7 linked regions of the Macaca fascicularis genome follow. The protein of the gene in region 1 interacts with the protein of each later gene in a biochemical or structural test. Links are inferred from orthologs where the notes say so. Each region holds a gene or a part of one and is shown in the gene's direction. Other genes may lie near its edges.

Evidence for each region.
Region 2: of the proteins of MAPK3 (region 1) and DUSP1, one has a biochemical effect on the other in vitro, tested with the Homo sapiens proteins (2 studies listed by BioGRID and IntAct). The link is inferred for Macaca fascicularis from reciprocal best matches to the Homo sapiens genes MAPK3 and DUSP1.
Region 3: of the proteins of MAPK3 (region 1) and GAB2, one has a biochemical effect on the other in vitro, tested with the Homo sapiens proteins (2 studies listed by BioGRID). The link is inferred for Macaca fascicularis from reciprocal best matches to the Homo sapiens genes MAPK3 and GAB2.
Region 4: of the proteins of MAPK3 (region 1) and ELK1, one has a biochemical effect on the other in vitro, tested with the Homo sapiens proteins (6 studies listed by BioGRID and IntAct, with this or other methods). The link is inferred for Macaca fascicularis from reciprocal best matches to the Homo sapiens genes MAPK3 and ELK1.
Region 5: the proteins of MAPK3 (region 1) and PTPRR form a complex in vitro, tested with the Homo sapiens proteins (2 studies listed by BioGRID). The link is inferred for Macaca fascicularis from reciprocal best matches to the Homo sapiens genes MAPK3 and PTPRR.
Region 6: of the proteins of MAPK3 (region 1) and MBP, one has a biochemical effect on the other in vitro, tested with the Homo sapiens proteins (5 studies listed by BioGRID). The link is inferred for Macaca fascicularis from reciprocal best matches to the Homo sapiens genes MAPK3 and MBP.
Region 7: the proteins of MAPK3 (region 1) and PTPN7 form a complex in vitro, tested with the Homo sapiens proteins (3 studies listed by BioGRID, with this or other methods). The link is inferred for Macaca fascicularis from reciprocal best matches to the Homo sapiens genes MAPK3 and PTPN7.

The regions. Positions count from the first base shown.
Region 1 is NC_088394.1:27,971,521-27,975,754, forward strand, and holds the start of MAPK3 (mitogen-activated protein kinase 3), read left to right. Parts: upstream 1-1,222; 5' UTR 1,223-1,257; coding exon 1,258-1,427; intron 1,428-2,451; coding exon 2,452-2,634; intron 2,635-4,234.
Region 2 is NC_088380.1:179,585,258-179,589,613, reverse strand, and holds the start of DUSP1 (dual specificity protein phosphatase 1), read left to right. Parts: upstream 1-1,359; 5' UTR 1,360-1,598; coding exon 1,599-1,965; intron 1,966-2,243; coding exon 2,244-2,389; intron 2,390-2,713; coding exon 2,714-2,933; intron 2,934-3,375; coding exon 3,376-3,746; 3' UTR 3,747-4,356. UniProt on the Homo sapiens protein: Dual specificity phosphatase that dephosphorylates MAP kinase MAPK1/ERK2 on both 'Thr-183' and 'Tyr-185', regulating its activity during the meiotic cell cycle.
Region 3 is NC_088388.1:77,317,319-77,321,827, reverse strand, and holds the start of GAB2 (GRB2-associated-binding protein 2), read left to right. Parts: upstream 1-1,706; 5' UTR 1,707-1,808; coding exon 1,809-1,886; intron 1,887-4,509. UniProt on the Homo sapiens protein: Adapter protein which acts downstream of several membrane receptors including cytokine, antigen, hormone, cell matrix and growth factor receptors to regulate multiple signaling pathways.
Region 4 is NC_088395.1:47,748,081-47,752,306, reverse strand, and holds the start of ELK1 (ETS domain-containing protein Elk-1), read left to right. Parts: upstream 1-1,181; 5' UTR 1,182-1,354; intron 1,355-4,226. UniProt on the Homo sapiens protein: Transcription factor that binds to purine-rich DNA sequences. Forms a ternary complex with SRF and the ETS and SRF motifs of the serum response element (SRE) on the promoter region of immediate early genes such as FOS and IER2.
Region 5 is NC_088385.1:77,398,077-77,401,853, reverse strand, and holds part of PTPRR (receptor-type tyrosine-protein phosphatase R), read left to right. Parts: intron 1-298; coding exon 299-456; intron 457-1,229; coding exon of another isoform or gene 1,230-1,335; exon of another isoform or gene 1,336-1,380; intron 1,381-3,777. UniProt on the Homo sapiens protein: Sequesters mitogen-activated protein kinases (MAPKs) such as MAPK1, MAPK3 and MAPK14 in the cytoplasm in an inactive form.
Region 6 is NC_088392.1:3,780,813-3,784,589, forward strand, and holds part of MBP (myelin basic protein), read left to right. Parts: intron 1-2,140; coding exon 2,141-2,577; intron 2,578-3,777. UniProt on the Homo sapiens protein: The classic group of MBP isoforms (isoform 4-isoform 14) are with PLP the most abundant protein components of the myelin membrane in the CNS. They have a role in both its formation and stabilization.
Region 7 is NC_088375.1:59,905,654-59,908,280, reverse strand, and holds part of PTPN7 (tyrosine-protein phosphatase non-receptor type 7), read left to right. Parts: intron 1-855; coding exon 856-969; intron 970-2,566; coding exon 2,567-2,627. UniProt on the Homo sapiens protein: Protein phosphatase that acts preferentially on tyrosine-phosphorylated MAPK1. Plays a role in the regulation of T and B-lymphocyte development and signal transduction.

The DNA.
Region 1 (4,234 bases):
GGAGCTGTGTGTTTTTGTGAAGCTTCCAGCTCACATCTTTGCTGTGAAATGAGGGGGATGGACTGGATGATCTCCGAGGGCCCTTTCTTCAGTTGTAACAGTCTGAGATGGACAGGTGTGATCCCAGAGCTTTGGGAGGCCGAGGTGGGAGGATCCTGTGAAGTCGGTAGTTTCAGACCAGCCTGGACAACATCGCAAGACCCAGTATCTACCAAAAAAAAATTATATTTTCTTTTTTTGAGATGGAGTCTCGCTCTGTCACCCAGGCGTAGTGCAGTGGTGCAATCTTGGCTCACTGCAACCTCCACCTCCTGGGTACCAAGCAATTCTCCTGCCTCAGCCTCCTGAAGAGCTGGGATTACAGGCGCCCACCACCATGCCCAGCTAAGTTTTGTATTTTTAGTAGTGACAGGGCTTCACCATGTTGGTCAGGCTGGTCTCCAACTCTGTCCTCAAGTGATCCGCCCTCTTCAGCCTCCAGAAGTGCTGGGATTACAGGCGTGAGCCATAGTGCCCAGTCCCCCAATTTTTTTTTTTTTAATTAGCAGGGCGTGGTGGAGCGCACTCATAGTCCCAGCTCTTTGGGAGGCTGAGGTAGGAGGATCACTTGACCCCAAGGAGGTTGAGAATGCAGTCAGTAAATATTACACCATGCACTGCAGCCTGGACGACAGAGTGAGACCCTGTCTCTAAAATAAAATAAAAACAGTCTAGGATTCTGAGAGGCATGGAATTAAAAAGAGCCTCTGTCAGAAGACATCATTTTGAGTCTCAGCTCTGTCATTACTAGTGACCTTACTCAAGTTAGTTAGCCCAATTCTCAGATTCCCCATCTGTAAAATTTGATTCATTTATTAGAACAGTTTTTTTAACCTAGGGTGATCTCGGGCCCAGGTTCTGGTGGGCTGCCGCACACATTGGCTGGGTGGCTCTGGTAGGTCACGCCCTGGCCGCTTCGCCTTCAAGAGGAGGGTGAGGACAGTCTCCGAGGCGGCGCTGCCGAGCCTCCCCATGACTTGGTGACCGCGGAGCCAGCAGAGACCCCCGGGCTCCCGCACCTAGGGCGAGAAGGGCGGGCGCGCGCCCGGGGTGGGTCACGTGACGGCTCCAGGCCCGCGCGGGGCCGGGGGCGCGCGGGGCCGGGGCAGGGGCGGGGCCTGGAGCGCGCGGCCCTGCGGGTGACAGGCGGGCGGGAAGGGGCGGGGCCTCGGGCGGGGCCGCCGGGGGGAGGAGGGCGGCGGGAGGGGAGGAGTGGAGATGGCGGCGGCGGCGGCTCAGGGGGGCGGGGGTGGGGAGCCCCGGAGAGCCGAGGGGGTCGGCCCGGGGGTCCCGGGGGAGGTGGAGATGGTGAAGGGGCAGCCGTTCGACGTGGGCCCGCGCTACACGCAGCTGCAGTACATCGGCGAGGGCGCGTACGGCATGGTCAGGTGAGGGGGCGTTCCGGGGGAGGGGGCGCCCTCAGGGGAGGGGGCTTCACAGGAGAGGAGGGGGAGGCGCCGAGCGCTTTCCGGGACGTGGAGACGCGGAGCGTCCCGAGGAGGCAGGGGACTCGGGATGATCGGGAGCGTCCCAGGGAGGGGACCCCTGAGTGCTTTCTAGGGGAGAGGGCGCTGCCTGCGTCCTCAGGGGAGGGGGCTTGGAGGCTTTGAGTCCACCCTTCTGTAATGACGGGAGGGGCATCTGAGTGCATGTGGGGGCCCGCGGGGACCCTAGTGACACGGGGCGAGGCCCAGAGGATGAGTACTCTCGGGGAGGCGACATCCTTAGTGAAGAGGCAGTGGAGGGCCCCTTTTGGGGGAAAGGGTGTCTTGGATTCCCTCTGTGAGGCAGTGCCAGGGAGCCTGGGGTAGACGAGCCGAGATCAGGGTGGGGCAGGGCTTTGGCCCCACCACCACCACCACCAGGTGCCCAAAGAGAGATGAGGGGGCCAGGAGTGCCACTTGCATGTTTTGGGAGGGGTCTGTGAGTGCCCCCGGCCCCACCGTGAGCTCTGGGACAACCCTGCTGCCCGCTTCCCTCACCCTAGGACCCGCCCCTGCCCTGTCCATTCTCTCCTGCCCCTCCCCTGGCTGCCGTTTTCCCAGTATTTGCTCCATGGTGTGCCCCCAGCATCTGCACCCCCGGACCTGTCTTGGGTTAAGGAACCTTTCCTGGGAATGGGGGCGAAGGGTTCAGGGCCAGTAGAATGGAAGGGGATTGAGGAGAGGGGAAGTCAGTGAGCGGTCAGTCTCTTCCTCTGTTTGTAAAGTCACCGAAGGGCCGCCTGGCTGGTCCCCAGCTTTCTCTCTGGAGATCCCAGCCCTACACAGCAGGAAGGAACCAGCATTGTTTATGATTTGACCAGAGCCAGCTCCTGCTCTCTCCCCTCCCTGCCAAGGCCTGGGTGGGGCCACCAGGCCCGGACTCCCCCTTTGTAAGGCCACAGCAGCAGCCTCTCTCCGGTCCCCTCAGCTCGGCCTATGACCACGTGCGCAAGACTCGCGTGGCCATCAAGAAGATCAGCCCCTTCGAGCATCAGACCTACTGCCAGCGCACGCTCCGGGAGATCCAGATCCTGCTGCGCTTCCGCCATGAGAATGTCATCGGCATCCGAGACATTCTGCGTGCGTCCACCCTGGAAGCCATGAGGGATGTGTATCCTTCACCTTGCCCAGTCCGCTGGTCATATACAGCCTCGGAGCTGGGCTGGGGACCCGTTGCTTGCTTTCTGTTTCCATCTTACCCACCACCCTCCAAAACAAACCCAGTAAAATAAACTTTCCTGCAGAGGAGAAGCCACAGTGTAACAGGACTTAGAGGCCTCTGATGAACCCAGGCCTGCTGCAGCCGGGCAATATGGCCTTGAGCAAGTCAGTTCTCTGCTCTGTGCCCCAAGGGGGAGGGCTAGACAGGATGGTCTCTATGGGAGTGTTGTCTTCTGACATCGGCAGTTCTGAGACATGACCCAGCTTCTGCCCACAGTCACTTCTTGCTAACAAATGGATGGTTCTTTCCTCTCTTTCCTCCTTCCCCAGACTGGAAGGGAGACAGGGAGAAAGCAAACTGTCAGCTGGGCGTGGTGGCTTATGCCTGTAATCCCAGCACTTTGGGAGGCTGAGGTGGGCAGATTACCTGAGGCCAGGAGTTGGAGACCAGCCTGGCCAACATGGTTAAACCCTATCTCTACTAAAAGTACAAAAAAATTAGCAGGGCATGGTGGCGCATGCCTGTAATCCCAGCTACTTGGGAGGCAGAGGCAAGAGAATCGCTTGAACCCAGGAGGCGGAGGTTGAGGTTGCAGTGAGCCAAGATCGTGCCACTGCCCTCCAGCCTGGGTGACAGCGTGAGACTCTGTCTCAAAACAAAACAAAAACAAAAAAACTGCCTTTCTTGAGGTCCTACTGCGTGTCAGGTACTATACATGCCCAATGCTTTTTTTTTTTTTTTTCTATTACACCTCCCAACTACCCTATGAGATAGGCTTTGCAGCTTCATTTCAAAGATGAGGGCAGGGTGCAATGGCTTACGTCTGTAGTTCCAACACTTTAGAGGCCAAGACCAGAGGATCAGTGGAGGCTGGGAGTTCAAGACCAGCCTGGGCAGCATAGTGAGACCCCATCTCTACAAAAAATTTAAAAATTATCCAGCTTTGGTGGTGCATGACTGTAGTCCCAGCTACTTGGGATGCTGAGGCAGGAGGATGGCTTGAGCACAGGAGTTCAAGGCTACAATGAGCTATGATTGTGCTACTGCACTCCAGCCTGGGGGACAGAACGCGACCCTGTCTCAAAAAAAAAAAAAAAAAAAATGAAGAAGCTGAGGCCCAGGAAACCTAAAATCAAGTGTTTCTGTTGCTGTCTCCTCCTCCCCTCCCCCAGATGGAAACTTGTCCTTCTTAGGACTTCTCACTCAGAGCCACACCCTAATCACCTGTGGACTTGCACCTTGCCCAGGGAGGGACAGCCTAGCCTTTGTTGTCCTCCCCTGATACTGCTTTCCTAGTTTGCTGTCCACTTCCTGTCTGGCTCTCCTTAGCAACTTGTGACACCTGTCACCTCTTCCCTACCCCACCCACCCACTCTCAGTCCCAGCCCTCCACCCAAGAGCGGGGATTTGTATTGCGGTGTCTGCAGCCCCCACCACAAACTGTGGACAATTGGAAATCTCTGTGCTCACCCCCATCTCGCTGTGTGGTCTGAAGCAAGTCACTGCGTCTCGCTGGGCCTCCCCAGCTCTAAAACAGCAGGGCTGGTCC
Region 2 (4,356 bases), on another chromosome or scaffold:
TGTTCCTGACTCGGCACCCGGGCCGGTGGCGCAATGTTTATGTTTGTGTACCTAGCGCGTCGCGTCGCTGCAGCAGGCTGTGCTGTCCAGGGGGCCGTCACTGGGACTCAGGGCATGGATATCGCTGGGCGTTGGGGGCGGGGGGTCTTCCCAAGCGTTGCGATCCATGTCCTGGCAGTCCGCCCAGAACGGCCCGGGATTGGATTTTGCCTTCAGCCTATAACGGAAGCGACGACAGGGAGCGAGGGTTGGGGCCGGCTTCTGTTCCGGGTTGGAGCCCCCCAGCCCAGCGCTTAGTGGGCGCTCACTCAGTATACTGCCTATTTGTGTAATAAAGGGATGGAGAAGCTCGGTCTGGAGCCAAGGTGACAGAAACGTGTCGGGCGGCCCCTGGGGGGCGCCGTCGAGTCGCGCTGCGGGTCGCCCCTCACCCCTCCAAACGCCAAACCCGGGAATCCACCGCGGGGCCTTGCGACCCCCGACCGGGATTTCAGCCCCTTGACCTGCCTTCCTTGGCTCCAAGTCTTCCGGGGGCCACAGACTAGGAATAGCATTATTTCCCGGTGGGGGTTTGCTCGCTTACACTTTCATGGCAAATGTAGATATTTTAAAGCCACCTTAAAGAAAGTCGGGGAAACAGGAAAGCATTGCCCTGAACCTCTCCGCCCCAACTCGCTCGAGTCGTTTTTGGTAGGAACGACTTTTCTATCGGCAGAGCTGTTCATTTTTCTCCAAACTTCATCTTAGGCGCCTCTGTGCTGCCCCACGCGCCGCCCCACCCCACACCCCAGTAGTGTGGTTCTGGGCAAGTCAGTAGCTTCGCTTGGGGAACCTCAGTTTCCCCGCCTGTTAGTGATGAGGAAATGAGAGAAAGGGGCACAAGAGTATGCAAAAGCGCAGGAAGCCCCTTTCGGCTCAGGTCGAAGGCCGAGGGGCACGGGGAAGGGGACTCGGGGAGGGAGAGACGGAGGAGCGGCGAGGCCAAGGCAGATGGCACGTCGCCCATTCTCCCGGCCGCTCGCATCCCAGAGGTCAGCCTCAGCTGGCAGCGAGCCCTCCGCCTCCCCGCTGGGCCCGGAGCGCGGCGCGGGCCCAGTCCCTGGGGACGCGCCAAGAGCAGGCCGGACGGCAGGGCGGGGGCCGGGCCGCGAGCCAGCGCGCAGCGAGCGGACCCAGCTCCGAGGCTGATGACGTCTTCCCCTGTAGCTCGGCGGCGCCGGGCCGGGCAGGGCGGGTGACGTCACCGCCCCGTCACGTGATCACCATTCAAACAAACACCCTCCTCCCCCTGCGCGCGGGTCAGGCCCGCCCCGTCGCCCAGAGGCCTCATATAAACGAGCTCCCCAGATAGGGCTCGCTGCGAAGGACGTTCGGGCTGTGTGTGCGACGTGGTTCGAAGGGGCAGTCGGGGCAACCGCGAAGAAGCCGAAGAGCCCAGAGCCCCGCGTGACGCTCCTCTCTCAGTCCAAAAGCAGCTTTTGGTTCGGCGCAGAGCGACCCGGGGGTCTAGCTTTTCCTCGAAAGGCGCCGCCCTGCCCTTGGCCCCGAGGACAAAGAGCACCGCAGGGCTGATCACGCTGGGGGCGCTGAGGCCGGCCATGGTCATGGAAGTGGGCACCCTGGACGCTGGAGGCCTGCGGGCGCTGCTGAGGGAGCGCGCGGCGCAATGCCTGCTGCTGGACTGCCGCTCCTTCTTCGCCTTCAACGCCGGCCACATCGCCGGCTCTGTCAACGTGCGCTTCAGCACCATCGTGCGGCGCCGGGCCAAGGGCGCCATGGGCCTGGAGCACATCGTGCCCAACGCCGAGCTGCGCGGCCGCCTGCTGGCCGGCGCCTACCACGCCGTGGTGTTGCTGGACGAGCGCAGCGCCGCCCTGGACGGCGCCAGGCGCGACGGCACCCTGACTCTGGCGGCCGGTGCGCTCTGCCGCGAGGCGCGCGCCGCGCAAGTCTTCTTCCTCAAAGGTACGCCCTCGGGGAAGCTCGGGGCGGGCCGCACACCCCTGAGATTTTGCCCGGTACCCTCGGCTCTTGGCTCCCGGGGGGTCGCCCCACCTGCAGCGCGTGGGCGCTGGAGTACATTTATCTCTGGAACTTGTCATTGGCTTTGTTTGGCTCTGGGAACAAAGACTTGCCTGGGCCTTTCCGCTGTAAACTTCCAGCCCTTGGTGGGTGGGGGAGTCGTATGAAGGTGCCCTGTCCCGGCGTCACTGAGGAAAAAAAAAATGTCTTTGTATTCCCAGGAGGATACGAAGCGTTTTCGGCTTCCTGCCCGGAGCTGTGCAGCAAACAGTCGACCCCCATGGGGCTCAGCCTTCCCCTGAGTACTAGCGTCCCTGACAGCGCGGAATCTGGGTGCAGTTCCTGCAGTACCCCACTCTACGATCAGGTTAGTAGGTGTCCCTGCCACAGGGGAGAAGTAAGAACTGGCAAAGGCACGGAGGAGTGGTGCCAGGGAGAATATAGAAAGTGACCTGCAGCATTATTTATAACGGAGGGGACACAGGGATATGATTGTAGGCTCTACAGAAATGAATTTGCTGGTCCTGCCCAGGCAAATGGGCTTAGTTCCCTATTTATTTATCCTCCAGCAACAGAACTGAGTTCACTCGCTATCTGAAATTGACTTTTCCAGCAGAAAGTTTTTGTGGGTGTGGGCACTGGCCTTGGCTTTGAGCGAGCTTGATGAATGTTGGATATTTCTGGATTTCAGGGTGGCCCGGTGGAAATCCTGCCCTTTCTGTACCTGGGCAGTGCCTATCACGCTTCCCGCAAGGACATGCTGGATGCCTTGGGCATCACTGCCTTGATCAACGTCTCAGCCAATTGTCCCAACCATTTTGAGGGTCACTACCAATACAAGAGCATCCCTGTGGAGGACAACCACAAGGCAGACATCAGCTCCTGGTTCAACGAGGCCATTGACTTCATAGGTAAATGGAATGGATGCCTGGGGCTTTTCTGCCTCTCTGTTCTCATTTTAGCCCCTAAGCCCAACCTCTGTGGCAAGAGCTTGAAGTCTTATGAGCCTTCTTCCAGACATTCAGTATCAGTCTGGTGTGGGCAACATTCCTGCAAAATGTGAATTTGATTCAATGTCCCACTTTACAGATTTGCAAACTGGGGCTCACAAAGTTGAATTGACTGGTGTGAGATCTATCTGCTGAGTGGAAATCCCCAGTCTGAGTTTAAATCCTGTGCCATCCTTTGCGCAGTGCCCAAGTTGCTTCCATGAACAGTAGCCATGTGATGGCGTGTGGTGATGTTGACCATTTCTAGACAAGACACACATGACCTTTCTCAGATACACTGTACCTGGGCTTGGGGTGGTTCTCCTGAGCTCTCCAGTAACCAGCCGCTCCTTTTGTTTTCTAGACTCCATCAAGAATGCTGGAGGAAGGGTGTTTGTCCACTGCCAGGCGGGCATTTCCCGGTCAGCTACTATCTGCCTTGCTTACCTCATGAGGACTAACCGAGTCAAGCTAGACGAGGCCTTTGAGTTTGTGAAGCAGAGGCGAAGCATCATCTCCCCCAACTTCAGCTTCATGGGCCAGCTGCTGCAGTTTGAGTCCCAGGTGCTGGCCCCACACTGCTCGGCAGAGGCTGGGAGCCCCGCCATGGCTGTGCTCGACCGAGGCACCTCCACCACCACTGTGTTCAACTTCCCCGTCTCCATCCCTGTCCACTCCACGAACAGTGCGCTGAGCTACCTTCAGAGTCCCATCACGACCTCTCCCAGCTGCTGAAAGGCTGTGGGAGGTGAGGCTCTTCACATCCCACTGGGACTCCAGGCTCCTTGAGAGGAGAAATACAGTAACTCTGGGAGGGGCTCGAGAGGGCTGGTCTTTATTTATTTAACTTCGCCCGAGTTCCACTGGGTTCCTAAGCAGTCGTTGTGATGACTTAGCGTCAAGACATCTGCTGAACTCAGCACATTCGGGACCAATATGTAGTGGGTACATCAAGTCCCTCTGACAAAATGGGGCAGAAGAGAAAGGACTCAGTGTGTGAGCCAGTTTCTTTTTGCTCGCTCCTGTTTTTTGTAGAATCTCTTCATGCTTGACATACCTACCAGTATTATCATTCCCGACGACACATATACATATGAGAATATACCTTATTTATTTTTGTGGAGGTGTCTGCCTCCACAAATGTCATTGTCTACTCCTAGAAGAACCAAATACCTCAATTTTTGTTTTTGAGTACTGTACTATCCTGTAAATATATCGTAAGCAGGTTTGTTTTCAGCACTGATGGAAAATACCAGTGTTGGGGTTTTTTTTTAGTTGCCAACAGTTGTATGTTTGCTGATTATTTATGACCTGAAATAATATATTTCTTCTTCTAAGAAGACAT
Region 3 (4,509 bases), on another chromosome or scaffold:
TTGCTAAACAGCCTTCCAGTCTGTGTATTGAATCATATAACTATCAAAGGATATGTAAAAGACTACTCTTCTGGGGGAAGATAGGGCATACGTCTGCCTGACTTGCATCACAAACCTCAGCTGCAGCCAAACCATGCAGATTTCTTCGACTCTGCAATCCCTGGGACTTGGCACCATGACTCAGATGTGAATGAAGTCAGGATGGGTTTATTTTGGTGGGGAGTCACCGCCTCCTGATTGATTTGGCAGACGTTAAGTATTGTATGTCTTACAGGGATTTAAGGTACTTAAAGCCAGAAGTTAAAATGGCCATCATTCTGGTGGTGGCCCTTCATATGTGACTTAAGGATCCCCAAATTGGAAGGTTAAGGGAGCTGTGGTCCCAGCCTAACAGTTCTGGCTTTACTTCCCATCCAGCAGCACAGTGGATATTGAAGAAAGTCAGTGAAATGTTAGATCCAGGAGACTGACTGCTAAAACTCCTAGGGTATCTAGAAGAGCTAAGTACGTGATAGCGGATTCGCTTTTCCAAACTGAGGAGGGTGAACTTCCCCCAACCCAATCAAGATCTGTTGGACCAAATGATGTCCAACTGCTTGAAACATCTCAGCTGCACAGAGACAGAAATGAACAAAACAGCTTTAGTCTAAGGTTGTGTGGGGCAGTGCAAGATGCTGCTTCTCCAATTCATCTGTCCACACAGCACGGTTCCCCATTGAATAAACAGGATACTATCCACTTATCAGAGAAGTTAGGGAGGACCTGCCTTTTAATGCTGCTTGGAGAGACACTGTCAATGAGCGGGGACGTTGGGGAATTTGGACCCCAATTTCTTGTTCTTCTACACTTGACCTTGCCTTCCAATTCACTATGAAATATATTTACTAGGTTTGCTTCTTCCATTCTACAAATCATGCGAGTTTTCTATACTTAACTGTTTTCCTAGAGGCAATGTAGGAGGGACTCAGCTGGACTTTGTTTCCAGGCAATGAGAGGCTCCCAGGTTGATCCCATTAAGGCAATGCCCTCATTTTGAATAGGGGATGACTGGGACCCCTCCTCCCCCACACACCTGAATTGGAAACTTGGCTAGGCTTTGTACAAGCCCTTGCCCTTAGGCAGTCCATAAAATGGGAACAATACTGAAGACAATCCTGTAAGCCAAGAGTGCAAAGGCTCCGGCGCGTAGTAGGTCCGTCTCCTCCTCCCGCCGAGGGGCGCCAGAGTTAAGGAACTTCTTACTGGGAAGGGGTCCCTCCTTTCAGCAGGAACCTGACCCGCAGAATGGATCGGAAACGCGAGCAACCCTCGGATCCCTTCCCCGTCGACGCTCGGTGAAAAATCGATCGACGACGGAGGGCGCGCAGTCCCTTCTCCGCACGCCCGCCAGCGCCAGGGGCGCGGCCGCCTCCCCGGCCTCCGCGCCCGCAGCTTGAGGCCTCAGGAGAAAGCGAGATTCCGGGGCTCGCCGGCGGCGGTGGCTTTCTGTGTCCTGGCGGATCCCCAGCCCCGCGTCCGCGTGCGCGGCGGCCTCGGGGGCGCGGCGGGAGCGGGCGTGGCGAGCGCGCCGGCCTTCCCGCTGCAACTGCCCCCGCGGCGGCCCGGCGGAGAGTGCGGATTGCGCGCGCTCGGGGCGGGGGAGCGGGCGCGCGCGAGGCCGCCGGGCGCGCGCCGCGCCGCCTAGTCCCCGCCGGGCCGCCCGCCCCGCCCCTGGCCTCCCGCGAGCTGCGCACCGCCGGCCGCTGCCCCAGCTGCCCGAGCCCGCGCCCTAGTCCGCGCGACCCAGCGGCGGGCTCCAGGCCGGCAGCATGAGCGGCGGCGGCGGCGACGTGGTGTGCACCGGCTGGCTGAGGAAATCGCCTCCCGAGAAGAAGTTGAGGCGCTATGTGAGTGCGGGCGCGGCCGCCGAGGGGCGGGCGGGCGGGCGGGGGGCGCTCCGGGGCCTGCGGAGGGGCGGGGGGCTCCCGGAGGGGCGGCAGGCTGGGGAGCTCGGGCCCGGAGCCGCGGGGGCCGGGGGCGAGGAGCGGCCAGGGTCGTGTGGGGTACCTGCACACCTGTCACAGGTGCGCCGCCGAGGGGCGGGGCGGGGCGGGCGGCAGGTTGAGGCTGCGGCTCCTGCTCCGCCAGGCGGGCGCGGCGTCGGCGCCTCCCCAGGCGGTCTGCCCGTAAACTAAATATAGTGTCGAAGTTTGTATTGATGGCTTCTGGAGACCGAGAGAGTTGACTCTCGGGGCTGGGGCTCCGCGGCGGCCCCTAGCAGCTTCAGCTCACAGGTCCGGGAGAGGGCGGGAAAGGGGGGCGTAGGCTGTGGGCCCGCGCGGACGGCCCCACAAAGGGCGAGCGCCTCACGCCCTCTCCTTCCCTTTCTCCGCCCGCCCCTCCCGGCCGCCGGCCTCACTCCGTCCGCGGCTGCATCACCGGCAGCGTCAGCGGCATGTGCAGCCCTTGTATTAAGTGACTCATTTGTTTGTCCCCCTTCTCTCCCTTTATTCCGTTCGTCTCTCACAGGCGCCTCCCCCGACCCCGGTGTGACACTGCAGTTTGGTCCCCGTGGCTGGCCCGGGTTTGGGACCTGGCAGCTCCCGGTTGTCTGGGGTCGGGAGAGATCGAGGCTCTCGGCGCCCAGGTGTTGCCAACCCACAGTGTTTACTGACATCGCTGGAACAGCCTCTTCCCTCTAGGTGGGGAACTGGCAGTTTGGGGGAGGTGGAACGGCGTGGCGCTGAGCCGTGGAGTTCTGGCTTTTTTTTTTTTTTTTTTTTAACCCCTCTCCCCAGAGGATGCCTTGCCTGGTGAGGTCAAAGTACAAGATGGTGCCAGTTACTGAGATTTTGCCGAAATGGTCCTGGGGTAGTCGCGGGAGTTTGGAAGTGGGGGTAAGGTGGCTGGAAGGTTTCAAGGTCTCTCATCTGCTCCCTCTCCTTTTCCCATGAAATGCCCTTGTTTAACGGGCTGTGGTGCCGGACTCCGGGATCACTCCCACAGCCTGGAAGGGAGCCGTTGCCTCCAGCTGCAGTGCATCAAGGGAGCTCGGAATAGACCCTGCCCTCTGTCAGCTGCACCAGTGGCTGTCCATGGGGGGAGAAGCAGAAGCCTACCAGAATTTCCTGTCTTGGCTCCCCAGATCAGAATCAAGGGACTTCTGGCCTCTGGACTGAGGAAGTGACATTCTGTTTTTCAAAGGAAGTGTTGTTGTTGCGGAGTGCAAGTGTGTGTGTCAATGAAATCAGGCTCTTACGTAGATGTTTGCTAGGAAAAAAAAAATTCTGATTTAGCACATGACTTTTGAAAGTGGACGTGGATTTATAGGAGGGATGAAGCAGTGAATTGTTCATCTCAGTTTGAAAGCTCATTTTTAGGAGTGTCTATGTAGCCAAAGTATAATTATTAAGAAATACACTTTTTTCCTCTTCAGGCTTGTATCAGTTCGTTAGGAAGGTTGAATACTTTAATTAGGATTAAGGAGCAGTGATTTACTATTAACAATTTAATAAATATTTTTAAAACTTTGTCCCAAAGAGCTTCCAAAAATTATCTTTACAAATAGATTTCCATACAAGCTAGTGGAATAGAGTGTCCACAGTAAAAAAAAAGAAAAAGTGACCCTTAGTTTTCAAATTTGAACACTACACTAAACCTTGAAACTTGTTTTTGAAACAATTTGCAAACAGTATGACATTGTATCTCCATTTGACTTACCGCTCCTTGAACGCTCACCCAGACTCTCTTTATGACCCATTTCTTGGGTGTTTTTGTTCCCAAACAACTTTAGTTCAAAAAAACCAGGTTTGGAGGCATTTGGGTCAAGCACCTTTTTCACTCATTTGAACGAATCTAGAATCGTGTGATGGCCTTAGCCTCTCTTTCCCATCTTCGATGCACCTTCAGCCCATCAGGTGTCAGACCTTAACAGCTTTCAGTAACAGCTTTTCTTAGGCCAGGATGTGATGTGTTCACTTACATGACTGGAAGCCTCTGCCCTTTCGAAAGTTCAGTTTCCCCCCAGTTGAAACTGCTGATCTGTGTAACCTTAAGCTTCCGGGGAACAGTATTCTTTTACGTCTACTGTTTTTGGGGGTATTAAGAATTTTTGCATCCTGTTGTAAGTTAAAACTCTGCTAGTTTGCTTATTTCAGTAGAGGCCCGAGTTCATCAGAACCAAACTTGGAAAGTATTTCCCAGCCTAATGGCTGTATATTTACCCCAAAGTAGCTGCTGCTTCTGGTATACATCATAGTCATGTTATATTGTACTGAGAAATCCTCTTTATAAGAATGCCACAAGCATATGAGATAAGGGGAAAAAGTAGTTGATGAACTAGGTTATAACTATTTAAAACGATTTTTTTAAAAACTGATTTAATTCGAAGGCTGGGCGCAGTGGTTTATGCCTGTAATCCCAGCACTTTGGGAGGCTGAGGCCGGCAGATCACTGGAGGTCAGAAATTCGAGACCAGCCTGGCCAAAACCCCGTCTCTACCATAAATACAAAAATTAGCTGGGCGTTGTG
Region 4 (4,226 bases), on another chromosome or scaffold:
CCCTTCTTTTTCCCCATAAACCCTGCTGGTTGCCACGGGGGCCTGTTCCTAGGGCACAAAGTTACTGAGAGACCCAGAGATCCAGTCTCTTTCTGTGGAACCTCTAAAATGCCCCAACAGTCCTGCCTCCAGCCTGTTGCCTGGCAGCATTTGCCAGTTGACCTTGTGCACTGCCCTCTCTCCTGTCATTTTGGCAACCTGGGCCCCCACCTCACCCTTCCATTCCTTTTCCTAGACACCACCCATTGAATTGCCATAGAGAATGGGCCAATTCATGGTGGAGGTTTGTTCATTCCCACAACAATCAAAGGGCCCTAAGGTTTACCCTTTCACACACCCAATCGTTACCCTAAATCCATCTCAGCCCTACCTTGTCCTAGCCCCTGCTATTGTAAGTGGTTCCAGCTTCTAATAGGCACGGAGCTGGATCCCGCTCTCCCTAGTCCGGCCCCTATTCTAGGTTGAGTCCAGCCTCCGCCAATCAACGCAGAGCCAGGTTCCTCCCCTTTTTAACTCTGGCCACAGTTCAACCCTGCCCTCTGAAGGCATTTCGTTTCTGCCACTCAATGCTCCTTCGTGTGCCTGACAGCCATCCTGCCTTCCTACCGCCGCTGTGTTCTAAATTCGTCTTCTACCCAGCTCTATGGTCTTCTCTAACCAAAGAATTGCCCTGCCCGCCTACGCGGAGCCCAGCCCGACCCACTCCCGCCGACTGCTACGCCCATTTCTATACAAGTCCTGCTTCCGCTGAGCAGCGTGGCGTGCGGCACCACCCCCTTGGTGTTTTGGCAGGGGTCTAGGAGTCCCTCATCCGCCAATCAGAGAAAAACAGGGCTACCCACCCCCGTCCTTGGAGGCTGTCTTCCATCAATCCCATGTAAGCCAATCAGTGTGAGGCAGCCCCCCGCCCTCTACACACACGCCCCGAGCCTCGTCAGTTGCTCACAGTCCGTCAGTCCTTGAGCCAATCGGCGTAGAGCACCGGGAAGGCCGAACGCGCCTCCTCGGGACTCCAGGGGCCGTGAGCGTTCCATCATTTCCCCTTAGGCCAATCACGGCACAGCTCTGTGGGGAAGGGCCCGTCCCCCAACCCCTCGAGGCCTTGCGGCCGATTAATAGCGCTTTGGCCAATCAGCGAGCGGCGGGACACTGGGCTCCTCCTCCCCGGGCCCACGTGAGCCGTAGGGAAACGCAGGGGCGGCTTCTAGGTGCTGCCGCCGCCGCCGCCGCCACCGCCACCACCACCGCCACCGCCGCCTCGGAACCCAGGCCTGGGGGGCGGTGGGGCCGCGTATGGAGCCCCCGCCCCCCGGAGCTGCCAACATTGCCAACGCCACCGCCACGCTACACACAGGTGAGCTCTGGGCCTGGAGGGTGGAGGGCCCCGTCCGTGACCCCACGTATCCTTCCCGCCCCCGCGCAAAGGATGTGGCTTGGCCGGTGGCCTGCTGGTGTTCGACTCCCCGCCGCCACCACCACGGCTGGTGGACCTGCGTGTGGCATTGCTCAAGCCCTTCGTCCCTTGTAGTGGATCTGACCGTGGCCTAACCTCCCCCTCCCGTTGTGTAATGGATCGGTCTGCGTGCTTATGTTTTTCCCCACGCCAACTTAGGGTGGACTCGTCCATAGGCTTTCCCCCTACCCCCACCCGCCCCCCACCCACCCCCACTTACAGGGAGCCAGCCTGTGACAGTGTTCAGCCCCCTTAATAGTAGGTGTATCTGAGTGTTTGGATTTCTCCTAGCCTCAACTTTCATAAGACCCGTTCGTGGCCTTGTTTATTCCACCCCTCCTGTACATTGTAGCGAAATCAATCCGTGGCGCCGCACCCCTCCGCATCCCTCTTTAACAGTGAGTCTACCTGAGTTTGTATTCCTGCCTCCTCCAGTCCCCCAATGCATCAGTCCATGGCTTTTTTCAGAACCACCTCCCCCCCGCCCCCACCACCACCACCATTTTATAGTGGATCAGTCTTCATGTTTGGATTCACGTCCCTTTAGCTATCAGTCCATTGCCCTATCTGCCCTCTCGTTTTCGTAGATTGTCACTCTAGCCCTTGGGGTTCTCTCTTATTTTTAATAGTGGGTCAGTTTAGTGCTTTATATCTCCCTATTTTCAGTAGCTCAGTCCATAGCCTTTTCCCTCTCTGCTTTGAATCAGTCTGTGTGATGGCTTTTCTCTCCCTTTACTGTGGTGCAGGAGTCTGTAAGGTTTTCTGCTCCCCTTCCCCTCAGGCGATGAGCCTCATCACCCCTTCCCTTTGCAGTGGATCTGTTCATTGGCCTTCCTCCCCCACACCCCTGTATGCTTGCACAGTCCCCCGCATACCGTCCCGTGAGTCCAGTGCTTTGTAATTGGGGGAAGGTCGGCCGTGTACTTTCAATTTCCTTCTTTTTTTTCCCCCTTCCCAGAAGAGAACGTGCTGATCCTCTTTTCCTTGTGGAGCAGTGTATGGCCTTGCCTGTCCCTCACCTCTTAATAGTGGGTCAGCCTGATCACACTAGTAACCACAAAGACGTTCTGCCTCACTACAATAAGTGAATACATTAGCAACAGTGATGATGGTAATGCCAGTAGGAGCTAGCGTTTATTGAGCACCTGCTGTGTATCAGGCAGAGTGTTTCATATGAATGAGTTCCTTTAATCCTCACCACAACCCCATGAGATAGGTAGTGAGCGAGCTGGGCCATAGGAAGGTTAAATTCCTTACTCAAAGGTGGCCCAGGAAGTACTCAGGACACAGGATAATTTTTGAGGCTCCCCTCTTAGACCGCATCCCACCCCACGTGAGGCCTCAGTCCTTAAAAACCAAATTAGTTCCCACCTCCAAGCTTTTGTTCTTGCTGTTCCCTCTGCCTGCAGAGTGGTCTTCATTCCCCACCTTCTCTCAGCACCCACCCACCCCCCAATACCAGCAGCTGTGTGACCTTCGATGTGTGATTTAACCACTTCCTCTCTGTACCTTTTTCTTCATTTGTGAAATGGGGGATCAGAACTAGAATCCCCTCCAGTGTAAATAAATATTACCTGTGAATTAATGGTGAAACAAGTAACCTTTCTAGCATTACCGCCTATACCTTCCCACCCCCTTACTGTGCTCCAACCACACTGGCTCCACCACACAGCTCCTCAAACATAGCAGGCATGGGCCAGCCTCAGGGCCTTTGCATTGGCCGTTCTTTGTGCCTTGAACACCACCCCCGGATCTCTGCATGGTTCCTTTCAGCACTCTGTTCAAATACCAACCCCCAAAGGATGTTTACCACACTGTGGTGTGTGGAATGCAGTATAAAAAGATACATGTATCAAAGATGTTTCTAAGAATGCCAGTTTATATATGAGTAAGGATTTTCCTCCTTTTCAAAAGGATGTGTTCACAAGACTGAGGTATGTAATATGCTCTGTAAAGTTACAAATATAAAAGCTGTTTCTAAGAGTGCTACTTGTATATGTGAATAAGGACTGTGTTGTTGCATTGAAAGAATGTGTTCACAAAACTGTGGTGTGTAGCTGGGCACGGGTGTGCACCTATAGTCCCAACTACTCTGGAGGCCGAGGTGGGAGGATCACTTGAACCCAGGAGTTCCAGGCCAGCCTGGGCAACATAGTGAGATCCCTGTCTCTGAATAAAAACCAAAAAACAACCACTGTGGCGTGTGTAATACACTCTCCTAAAGGCACAGGCATAAGAGATGTTTCTAAGAGTGATTTGATTTTGTTGTACCTGGGTAGTGTTATTTCAGTAAAGATTGATTGTCACACCATGGTGCTTGGAATATACTATACGAAGGCACATGTATAAAGAAGAAGTTCCTAACAATGCTACTTGTAAAAACAAAAAAAGTCAACCCCTCCCTGGCCATCTGAAGCTGCACACCCAGCAGGGCTCAAGCCAGGTCCCTGCTTTGTCCCATTGCCCTTTATCACTGTCTGACACACTGTGTGGGTTGTTTGTTGTCTGTCTCTCCACATTAGAATGTGAGTCCCATGAGGACTCAGTTTTTGTCTGCTCATTCACTGCTATGTCTCCAGCAACTGAAAATGTACCAGGTAAACAGCAGATGCTCAATAAGAATTTATCCCATGAATAAATGGGAAAAAGATAATTTCAGACACCAGCATAGGGGTCAGATGGGGAAGAAGAAGGGATATGAGAGCTAGTTAGTTGGGGCTGTTCATGCAACCAACCTTTACTGAGCCCCTCGTGAGTACCAGGCACTCTTCTA
Region 5 (3,777 bases), on another chromosome or scaffold:
TTATAACAAATTATAAATATATGTTTAGCATATGTTACATTTATGATCTATATTATAGCTATAGGTAGAGATATAAATCTCAACAAAGGTAAGACTTTCTCACTTTGTGAACTGAATACTGACAGTAAAGTCTTCTCAAAGTAAAAGGGCACTCTTCAAAAATCTTCTAAATGTTTTTCCCACCTAGAAATAAATTGCCAGCAAGATGGGGGTGATAAAAAGGCATTCAGTATTGTGGTTTGGATGACTTTTAGTTCCACAAGTGAATGAGGCATTTGGTGGCTGTTGCTATTTTCAGCAAGGAAGCCACACCCAACATGTGAAGCATTACTGGTACACCTCATGGCCTGATCACAAGACTCCAGACAGTGCCCAGCCCCTCCTACAGCTCATGCTGGATGTGGAAGAAGACAGACTTGCTTCCCAGGGCCGAGGGCCTGTGGTTGTCCACTGCAGGTAAGATGTGAATGGTCCTTTCTGTCTAAGCAATGGCCCATTCTTTGTAAAGTCATAGAGCAGGTACAAGTGGGTTTTGCTTCCTGGATGTGACTTTGTTGGCAAATTAAATATTTATTGAAACTGGTTAAGTCCCTTATATTTGAGTCTTAATCAAGATTATGCTGACAGAAGTGAGGTCATGCTTTTAGGTCATTTTTGGCAAACAACAATTACACAGTAGGCGAAATACAAGTTCGAAATAAATGGCTCAGTGAACAGGAGACCTTATTCAGCAGTTATCTGCTTTGAAACTTATATTGATTCATTTAGTCTCATCAGTCTTGTACACACTAGGAATTAAGATGCATTCTTTGAAGTTATCAGTGACTTTTTTGTTGTTTCAAATGACAAGTGAACTCTGCTTGGTTTGTATCTTGGTAACATTTATTACTATTTCAAGTTTGGTGAAAACCAGTCAATTATTTTAAGAGTTATCTCCAGAAAAACAGGTTGAAATAAATTTATGAAATGAGAATTGAGCAAATGGTAGTTCACCAAAGGAAAACAAAGTGCTGTGACCAGAACACGGAGCGCTAGAGGCCAGGCCAACAACAGCAGCAGGGTCTGTGCTGGTTCCCGTCCCTAATTTCTAGTTCAAAGCTCTCCTCCTAGAACTGATACCTCCCTCCCCTTGTTTTCCTTTTAATGTAACCAAACTGAAGCGAGTGTTTTTAAAGTAATTTATATGAACAACTATTTATTTATTTATTTATTTATTTATTTTGAGACAGAGTCTCACTCCATTGCCCAGGCTGGAGTGCAGTGGCACAATCTTGGCTCACTGCAGCCTCGACCTCCTGTGCTCAAGAGATCCTCCCACCTCAGCCTCTGAAGTAGCTGGAATTACAGACGTGCGCCACCATGCCTGGCTAATTTTTGTATTTTTAGTAGAGACGGGGATTTCACCATGCTGGCCAGGCTGGTCTCGAACTCCTGACTTCAAACGTGATCCACCTGCCTTGGCCTCCCAAAGTGCTGGGATTACAAGTGTGAGCTACCAAGCCCAGCCAGCCATTTATTCTTCATGCTTTCTCAAAATAATTTGTGTTGCTTTGTTTAACCGCATAGGTCTCTTAAGTTAGCTTTTGATGATATATTTAATAAATATATTATTTTAGAGTATAATTTTAGCCTCCATTTTTGAGATTGTGTGGTTTAATTAAGAGTAAAGTTTAATATGTGTCTGTTTATCCGAAGGTAGATAACACTGGCTTTATCCTAAACTTAACTTGGAGCCAAAAAAACAAAAACAAAAAAACAGCCTAACTCACTACGCTTTAGGGCTGGAACTGTCCCCCACCCAAAGTCATTAAACACTCAGGATATCTAAAATGAACTAGTCACTTCCCCTATAAAACCAGCTCCCCTTCTGATTACTATTTCTGAGAATGAGACTATCTTTTTTCCAGTCACTCAGCATCCCATGTTGACGGTTATCTCTGGCCCTTCTTTTAACTCCAACCTCAGTATCTAATCAGTCACTAGATGGGCTTTCCCTTCAAAGCTTCTCCCATAATCACCATTTCCTGTCCAGCCACCATAGTTTAAGCCCTTCTGACCTCATCCATGTATTTTAGAAGTAGCTGGTAAAATGCACACACACACCACACTCCCCCATGCTCTCACCGCCACCATTGTCTACCTGTGCCCTTCTCCGTCTTACCTTACATGGAGTCTCTGCTCAAAGTTTGTCAATGGGCCAGATGCGGTAGCTCACGCTTGTAATCCCAGCACTTTGGGAGGCCGAGGCGGGCAGATCACTTGAGGTCAGGAGTTCAAGACCAGCCTGGCCAATATGATGAAATCCCCTCTCTACTAAAAATACAAAAATTAGCCAGGCGTAGTGGCATGTGCCTGTACTCCCAGCTACTTGGGAGGCGGAGGCAGGAGAATCGCTTGAACTGAGGAGGCAGAGGTTGTAGTGAGTCAAGATCCTGCCAGCGTATTTCAGCAACCTGGGCAACAGACCTAGACTCTGTCATAAAAACAAACAACAAAAAAACTAGAGCAAAAGTCCCTAACCTTGAACCTATGCATAAACCGCAGAAGTCAGTGGACTTCTTGAAATTATTTGAACACATTTGAGTATGTAAAGTTATGTGAATTTTTCTGAAGAGTGAAAGCTTACAGTCTTCATCAAATTCTTATTTAAAAAAAAAGGATGAATTTCAAGCCTCTTAGACTTCCATATAAGATCGCAGGGTACCTTTCTATCTTTATTTCCCACAGTTCCACTAAAATAACTTCCTCTTCAAGACAAGCTATTCTACTTATTGTTGCAAATCATATTTGCTGTTTCTCATTAATTCTTTCCTTCTTTCGTTATATATCGTTGTCGCACCTAGAATATTCTCCTCAATTATGACAGCCTAAATACCTGCCATTCATGGGGCACAGTTCCAATCCTATTTCTTCAATGAAATGAACTTTCTGTGGAAACTTCAACTAAAAGGGAGCCACTCCTCTGAATTCCTCTGCACTCACGTTTGACAGGAAACAAGTGCCAAATGTGAGAAATAGGTGCTATTTTAGTGCCAAGAGGGGAGCAATTATTTCCAACCATGGGAGCCGAAGAAAACTTCCAAAAACTAGAATAATGATGAACTGAGCCTTTTGAAACAATCAATGTTGTAGTTTTAAAAGGAGGGAGGGCATTTCTGACCAAGAAAACATTATTAACACAGAAAAATTGGAAAACCAAAAGCTGTTTTGCAAACAATTTATGTAAGTGAAAATCATGGCACGTGGGAAGGAAGACAGCAAAGTACAAAAGGCTTAAAGTTAGTCACATTCAGATTTTGCAAGGTCATGAATACCATGGTAGGGAGATTAGACATTATGCTACAATTAATGGAGCCATCTACAGGTTTTGAGTAGGGAATGATATAATTAAGTCCCTATTTCAGAAAGATGAACCTAGCAGCTGTGCGAATTTGTCCAGGAAAAGACTTGAGACTTGGAAACTATAATGAGATCACTGCTAATCATGATAAAAGGAGATGTTGAAAACGTGAGTACAGTCTATAGAAAGGAAAGCATGAATCCCACAGGCTCAGCAGAGATGGAAAGTAGAAGAAGTGGTAACAGGTTGGATGTGGGAGGTGAGAAGGGGAGAGATGTAAAAGATGGTTCCAAGATTTCTAGGCTGGAAAACTTGTGGCTGACTGGTAATGCCATTGAGGGAAAAGATAATGAATTCTGTTTCAGATACATTGAATTTAGACACTTTGAACTGAAGCAAGTCCAAAATAGTAAGAAGGAGATGGAATGACAATCTAG
Region 6 (3,777 bases), on another chromosome or scaffold:
GCCCATTGCATGAGTCTCCCGGGGCTGCCAAGACAAATTACCACATGCTGGGAGCTTAAAACAACAGGAATTCTTCTGTGATCATTGTGAAGGCCGGAACTCTCAAGCTGAGATGTCTGCAGAGCCCTGCTGCCCCTGAAGGCTCTACAGGAGAATTTGCGCCATGTCTCTTACTCCTGGTGGTGCCGGAGGTGCTTGGTGTTCTGCGGCTCGTAGATGCACCCCGCCACGCTCCGCCTCCATCTTCACACCTCTTCCCTGGGTGTCTGTGCCTGTGTCCAAACTGCTCTCTTCTTATAAGGACACCAGTGATGGGAGTAGGGCCTACCCCACTGCAGAATGACCTCCTCTTCACTTGATTCCATCTGCAAATATCCTATTTCCAAATAAGGTCACATTCACAGGTACAGAGGTTAGGACATGGATGTATCATTTGGAGGGATACTATTCAATCCATAACATACATTTTCACCTGCTTTCCCCACTAGAATGTAGGTTTCACGAGGACAAGGACCACATATTGTTCATCACTGTAACTCAGATATCTAGAACAGTACATTACACCTATTTGATACTCACAAATAATGGATGGATGGATGCATGGGTGAACAGATAGGTAAATGGATGGATGCATGAGTGGATGGATGGATGGATGGATGGATGGATGGATGGATGGACGGATGGATGGATGAGTGGATGAATGGATGGATAGGTGGATAGATGGATGAGTGGATGGATAGGTGGATGGATGAGTGAACAGGGGATAGATGGATGAGTGGATGAATGGATGAGTGGATGGATGGGTGGATGTACGTATGTATAGATGGATGAATGGGTAAATGGACTGATGTGTGGATGGATGAATGCATGAGTGGATGGATGGATGGATGGATGGATGAGTGAATGGATGGATGAGTGGATATATGGACGGATGGATAGATGGATAAATGGGTAAATGGATTGATGATGGATAGATGGATAAATGGAGGGGTGGGTGGATGGATGAATGGATGGATGAGTGGATGGGGGATGGATGAATGGAGGGATGGGTAGGTGGGTGTGTGTATGGATGGATGGATAGATGGATAGATGGATAAATGGACTGATATGTGGATGGATGGATGGATGGATGCATGCATGAGTGGATAGATGGATGGGTGGGTAGATGGATGAGTGGATGGATGAATGGATGGATGAGTGGATGGGGGATGGATGGATGGCTGGATGGATGGGTGTGTATGGATGGATGAATAGATGGATGGATGGGTAAATGAACTGATATGTGGATGGATGGATGAATGGACAGATAGATGTATTGACTGGTATTACAGGAATATGTGAGTGAATCCTGTTTTCTGTAGATAAGTAATCGAGTTTGGAGAGGAAACTAAGTAAATGATATTCATTTAAACCTAACACTATAACTTGAAAGTAAAATGGCTTTAATGTCATTTGTGTCAGAAATGCTGTGTTTTTTGGAGAAAGCTATGAGATGCTGGTATACAACATGAGATTTCTCAATCCCACTTCAGATTTCTAATTGTTTCTGCTTCCAGAGGAGAAGCCAAGTCAAAATGTCCTGAATAAGCAGTTCTCTATTGTGAGAGGCCTCTTGTGGAATCTGGGATTGAAAAAATTCTAAATGCCCCACTTCTTTCATGCATGGATTGCAAAAAGACGTGGCAAGTTTTGCTTCTGCCAAGAAAACTAAAAACACCTTTTGTGAAATAAATGATCCTTACATATTTAACTTATGCACCAGTGGCCTTTTAAACAGTCCATGTCCCGTTAAGGTGCCTGCACATCTGGGGCTCTCCAGGAGCAGCCATGGCAGCACCCAGGAAGAAATGCTGATGTGGCCGCTCTGCGTGCTCCTACTTCATCGGGAAGCCTTGGTGCATTTTACCCAGGGTGCCAAATCTCGAATAACTGAGGAATTCCCAGGACCTTCTGAAACACAGAGCTGCAATAAGCCTGCTCCATCCAGGTTAGCTCCATCCTAGGCCAAAGGCTTTATGAGGACTGCACATATTCTGTGGGTTTTATAGGAGACAGCTAGGTCAAGACCCCTGAAAGAAAGCTGCTTTGTCCGGTGCTCAGCTTTGCACAGGCCGTATTCATATCTCATTGTTGTTTGCAGGAGAGGCAGATGCGAACCAGAACAATGGGACCTCCTCTCAGGACACAGCGGTGACTGACTCCAAGCGCACAGCGGACCCGAAGAATGCCTGGCAGGATGCCCACCCAGCTGACCCAGGGAGCCGCCCCCACTTGATCCGCCTCTTTTCCCGAGATGCCCCGGGGAGGGAGGACAACACCTTCAAAGACAGGCCCTCTGAGTCCGACGAGCTCCAGACCATCCAAGAAGACAGTGCAGCCACCTCCGAGAGCCTGGATGTGATGGCGTCACAGAAGAGACCCTCCCAGAGGCACGGATCCAAGTACCTGGCCACAGCAAGTACCATGGACCATGCCAGGCATGGCTTCCTCCCAAGGCACAGAGACACGGGCATCCTTGACTCCATTGGGCGCTTCTTTGGCGGTGACAGGGGTGTGCCCAAGCGGGGCTCTGGCAAGGTGAGCTCTGAGGAGTAGAGGAGCTTTAGTTTAAATGGAAAAGCAAAGGAGAAATCAGTAGGTGAACTAAGCCATTAGAGGAAGAACTGGCACGTAGCCTCTTGCTGTCTAAGGTCTCGTTCCATGCTGGAGAACGCATATGAGCCCAAGAGTGTGGGCCTGAGTGGCTGCTTAAGACGTTTTCATTTGACTCACCCCCTCTCTTCCTCACAAGGGATGACGGCCGGGGTGTGGCTCAGGAATGTAAGGACATGCTGAATTCTGGATGTCCAAGGGTGCCCGGACATGGGCATTGCAGAAAGACAGCCACATTCTCGGGGTCTCTGGGGGTGTGCGCTTGCGGACTTTATGACTGATTTGCCTCTGCGGCCCACACGCTGGGGTTCAGCCCGGGTTATGCTTGTTTTTTCCAGGAGTCAGTGCTGCTGGCTTCATGTTGCAGCAATCATAAGATTGAGGAAGACTTTTGAACAAAGTCCTCAGTTTAAATCCGCCTTAAGCAGACTTTCTCTCTGGTGTGAGAAGTGGAAGGGGTGGAGGGATAAATGAGTGTCTCTGAATCAAAGCTTTATTATCTTGTGATTCCATTAATTTGCATACAGAGTCTTAGAGGTTTCTTTATTTAAAAGCAAATGTTCTGTGGATAAAAATGTATTACAAGGAGAGAAAAAAAAAAAAAAGGAAAAACTCTGCCGTGGGGTCCGGCGTCTAGGAGTGGCTTCTGCAGTTGATTGTCAGTGGCGAACGTGTTGCTGCTGGTTCATCAAAGCACTGGTCCCTGAGTGCCATTCGGATTGCAAATGCAGCATTTCACGTGATGCTTAGAGTGTTTGGTGGTTGTGTAATTTTGGAGAGAGAGAAGTTTTTCCCAAAAAAGTCCCTGGTGTATTGGGCGTTCTCTCACAACCTGTAAGATGCAGCTGGTTTTCTGCCTGTGCGCAGGGCTGACTCTGGAATTCCGGAAGGCCTTGTGGGAGCGTAAAAGGCTTTTGAATAACGTGTGGAACACAACGCCTCATTCTGATAACACGCAATCATAAAAACCATAGGGCAACTTGGAGTTAAGGAGTTTCTAAAATTTGCTTTAGTCTCCAACTGAAATTCTTTATTGATCATGAAATTGTTGAAGATAAACAAATGTCAGTTTTACCTTTCCTGTGGGCATGAAAGCACATGGAAGTTTCAGGCAACTGTTAACTT
Region 7 (2,627 bases), on another chromosome or scaffold:
GAGCAGGGTTACAGGTTGGGCCCAGAGGTTATGTGTGGGGTAATGATGAGAGATGGGTTTGGAAGGCCAGTGAAGGTCAGATGATGAGGGGCCTTGTAGGACTGGCTAAGACACTTGGTTGTAAAATAACACTTTGGCTATAGAGTGAAAAATGGATTGGGCTGGAGTGAGAGGGTATCGTAGGGGATAAGACTAAAGAAAGAGATCATTTGGGAGTGCATATCCTAAATAAAACAGAGCACAGAGGCAAAAAGCATGACACAGGGCCTTCCCAGCCCACCCACAGGTAGCAGTGGGACATGTGCAGGGAGGTCATTAGAGGCTCACGCAAGAGGAACAGGAGGCCTGGGGAGTTTTGAAATAAACAGAGGGCACGATGGAGCAAGCAGAGCAGAGCGGAGAGAAGACTGTGGGAGGGCGCCAAGGTGGGAAACAGAGGGGCCGGGCATGGGCTGCGTGGAAGATGAGTCTGAGCTGAGAGGAAGTCAAGGTTAGATAAGGAGGGCTCAAGGGTCAGCACGCCCACAAGTGGGGAACTGTCTGTTGGAAACTGCTGTAGATGCTCAGCAGAGTGGAGATCATCAAAACGTCCACAGGGACCAGAAGGTGGCCTGCAACAGGCTTACAGTGAGGCTGGTAAGAAATGTAAACTCCTCCCGTGCCAGTTATAACCTGCCTCCAGCAGGGTCCCCAAGGGGACTGGAATCCGAAGTACTCTACCTGCCCCCATCTCCAGAGTCCTATCCCCAAAATACAGCACCTGCAGGTCCCATTTCTTTCTCCATGGTTTGGGGCCTGGCTCTTAGATTCCCTTGTCTCCCATGACCTCCCTTTCCCCTCCCTGGCTATCTTCAGTGCAGGGATTGGCCGGACAGGCTGCTTCATCGCCACGCGAATTGGCTGTCAACAGCTGAAGGCCCGAGGGGAAGTGGACATTCTGGGCATTGTGTGCCAACTGCGGCTAGACAGGTGGGTCTGTGGGTGTAAACAAGGCCAACAACGTTAATGGGGGGCATCAGTGCCTCTGGGCGTCAGAGCCCTGATAGGCCCATCACCATCAAGCACTCCTGCAAGAAAGGAAGAAACCCTTTCTGCTTAGAGCTGTTTATTTTGCAACTAACAACCAGCAAAAAATATCTATCTGGATGGCCGGGCGCGGTGGCTCACACCTGTAATCCCAGCACATTGGCAGGCTGAGGTGGGTGGACCACCTGAGGTCAGGAGTTCGAGACCAGCCTCGCCAACATGGTGAAACCCTGTCTCTACTAAAAATACAAAAATTAGCTGGACCTGGTGCGGGCCCTTGTAATCCCAGCTACTCAGGAGGCTGAGGCAGGACAGTTGCTTGAACCCAGGAGGTGGAAGTTGCAGTGAGCCAAGATTGTGCCATTGCACTCCAGCCTGGGTGACACAGCAAGACTCTGTCTCAAAAAAAAAAAAAAAAAAAAAAAAGAATATCTATCTGGAAAGTTGGCTTGGAGGCCTGGAATTAAACATGATATGAGGCAACAAGTAGTGCAAAGAAGCTCACTGGGTTGAGGCAGAGCCAGTGTTCACATTCCAACTTTTGTCTCACTGAGATGTCACTAGATTTCTCTGAGCTCCCATTTCTTTTTTTTTCCTTTCTTTCTTCTTTTTGTAATAATAGAGATGGGGTCTCACTATGTTGCCCAGACTAGTCTCGACCTCCTGGGCTCAACAATGCCCCCTTGGCTTCGCAAAGTACTGGGATTACAGGCTTAAGTCACTGTGCCCAGCCCCCACTTCTTTATCTAGAGAGAGATAATGGCTCCTTCCCCCAGAAAACTGTTGTAAGAAATGAGTTAACTTATATGAAAGTGTTTTGGAAATGGAAACTATTATACAAATGTATGGAATCATTATTTTTACTTTTAAGATTATTAGAAAGAAGGAAACTTGAGGCTCAGGAGTATTCCTGGCCCGACTCAAGGCTTCAGAGGTCTGGTTTTGTCCCAGGAGCTGAGTGAATCAAGGAAGACCAAGCGTCAACACGGGGCATCACCCCTCAGCACGTGTAAGGGGCAGAGGACTCCTCTCACAGTAAATCTGAGGGTCAGCAAGGAGGAGTAGCAAGTAGAAAAGATGAATATAGGTGGCGGGGCATGGTGGCTCATATCTGTAATCCTAGCACTTTGGAAGGCCAAGATGGGCCAATCACTTGAGGTCGGGAGTTCAAGACCACCCTGGGCAACATGGTGAAACCCCGTTTCTACTAAAAATACAAAAATTAGCTGGGCATGGTGGCAGGCACCTACAGTCCTAGCTACTCAGGAGATTGAGGCAGGAGAACCACTTGAACCCGGGAGGCAGAGGCTGCAGTGAGCCAAGATCATACCACAACTCTCCAGCCTGGGTATCAGAGTGAGACTGTCTCATAAAAAAAAAGAAAAAAAGAAAAAGAAAAGATTAACACAGGCAAAGGAGTTGGCATGTCCTTTGAGAAAGTCAGGACTTTTCCAGTAGGACCGCAAGAATGTTTGACTGGAGCCATTCAGCCAGCACCCTGACCCTCCTTTACTCATGGTCTGTGTGTTTCTCCTTGCAGAGGGGGGATGATCCAGACGGCAGAGCAGTACCAGTTCCTGCACCACACTTTGGCCCTGTAT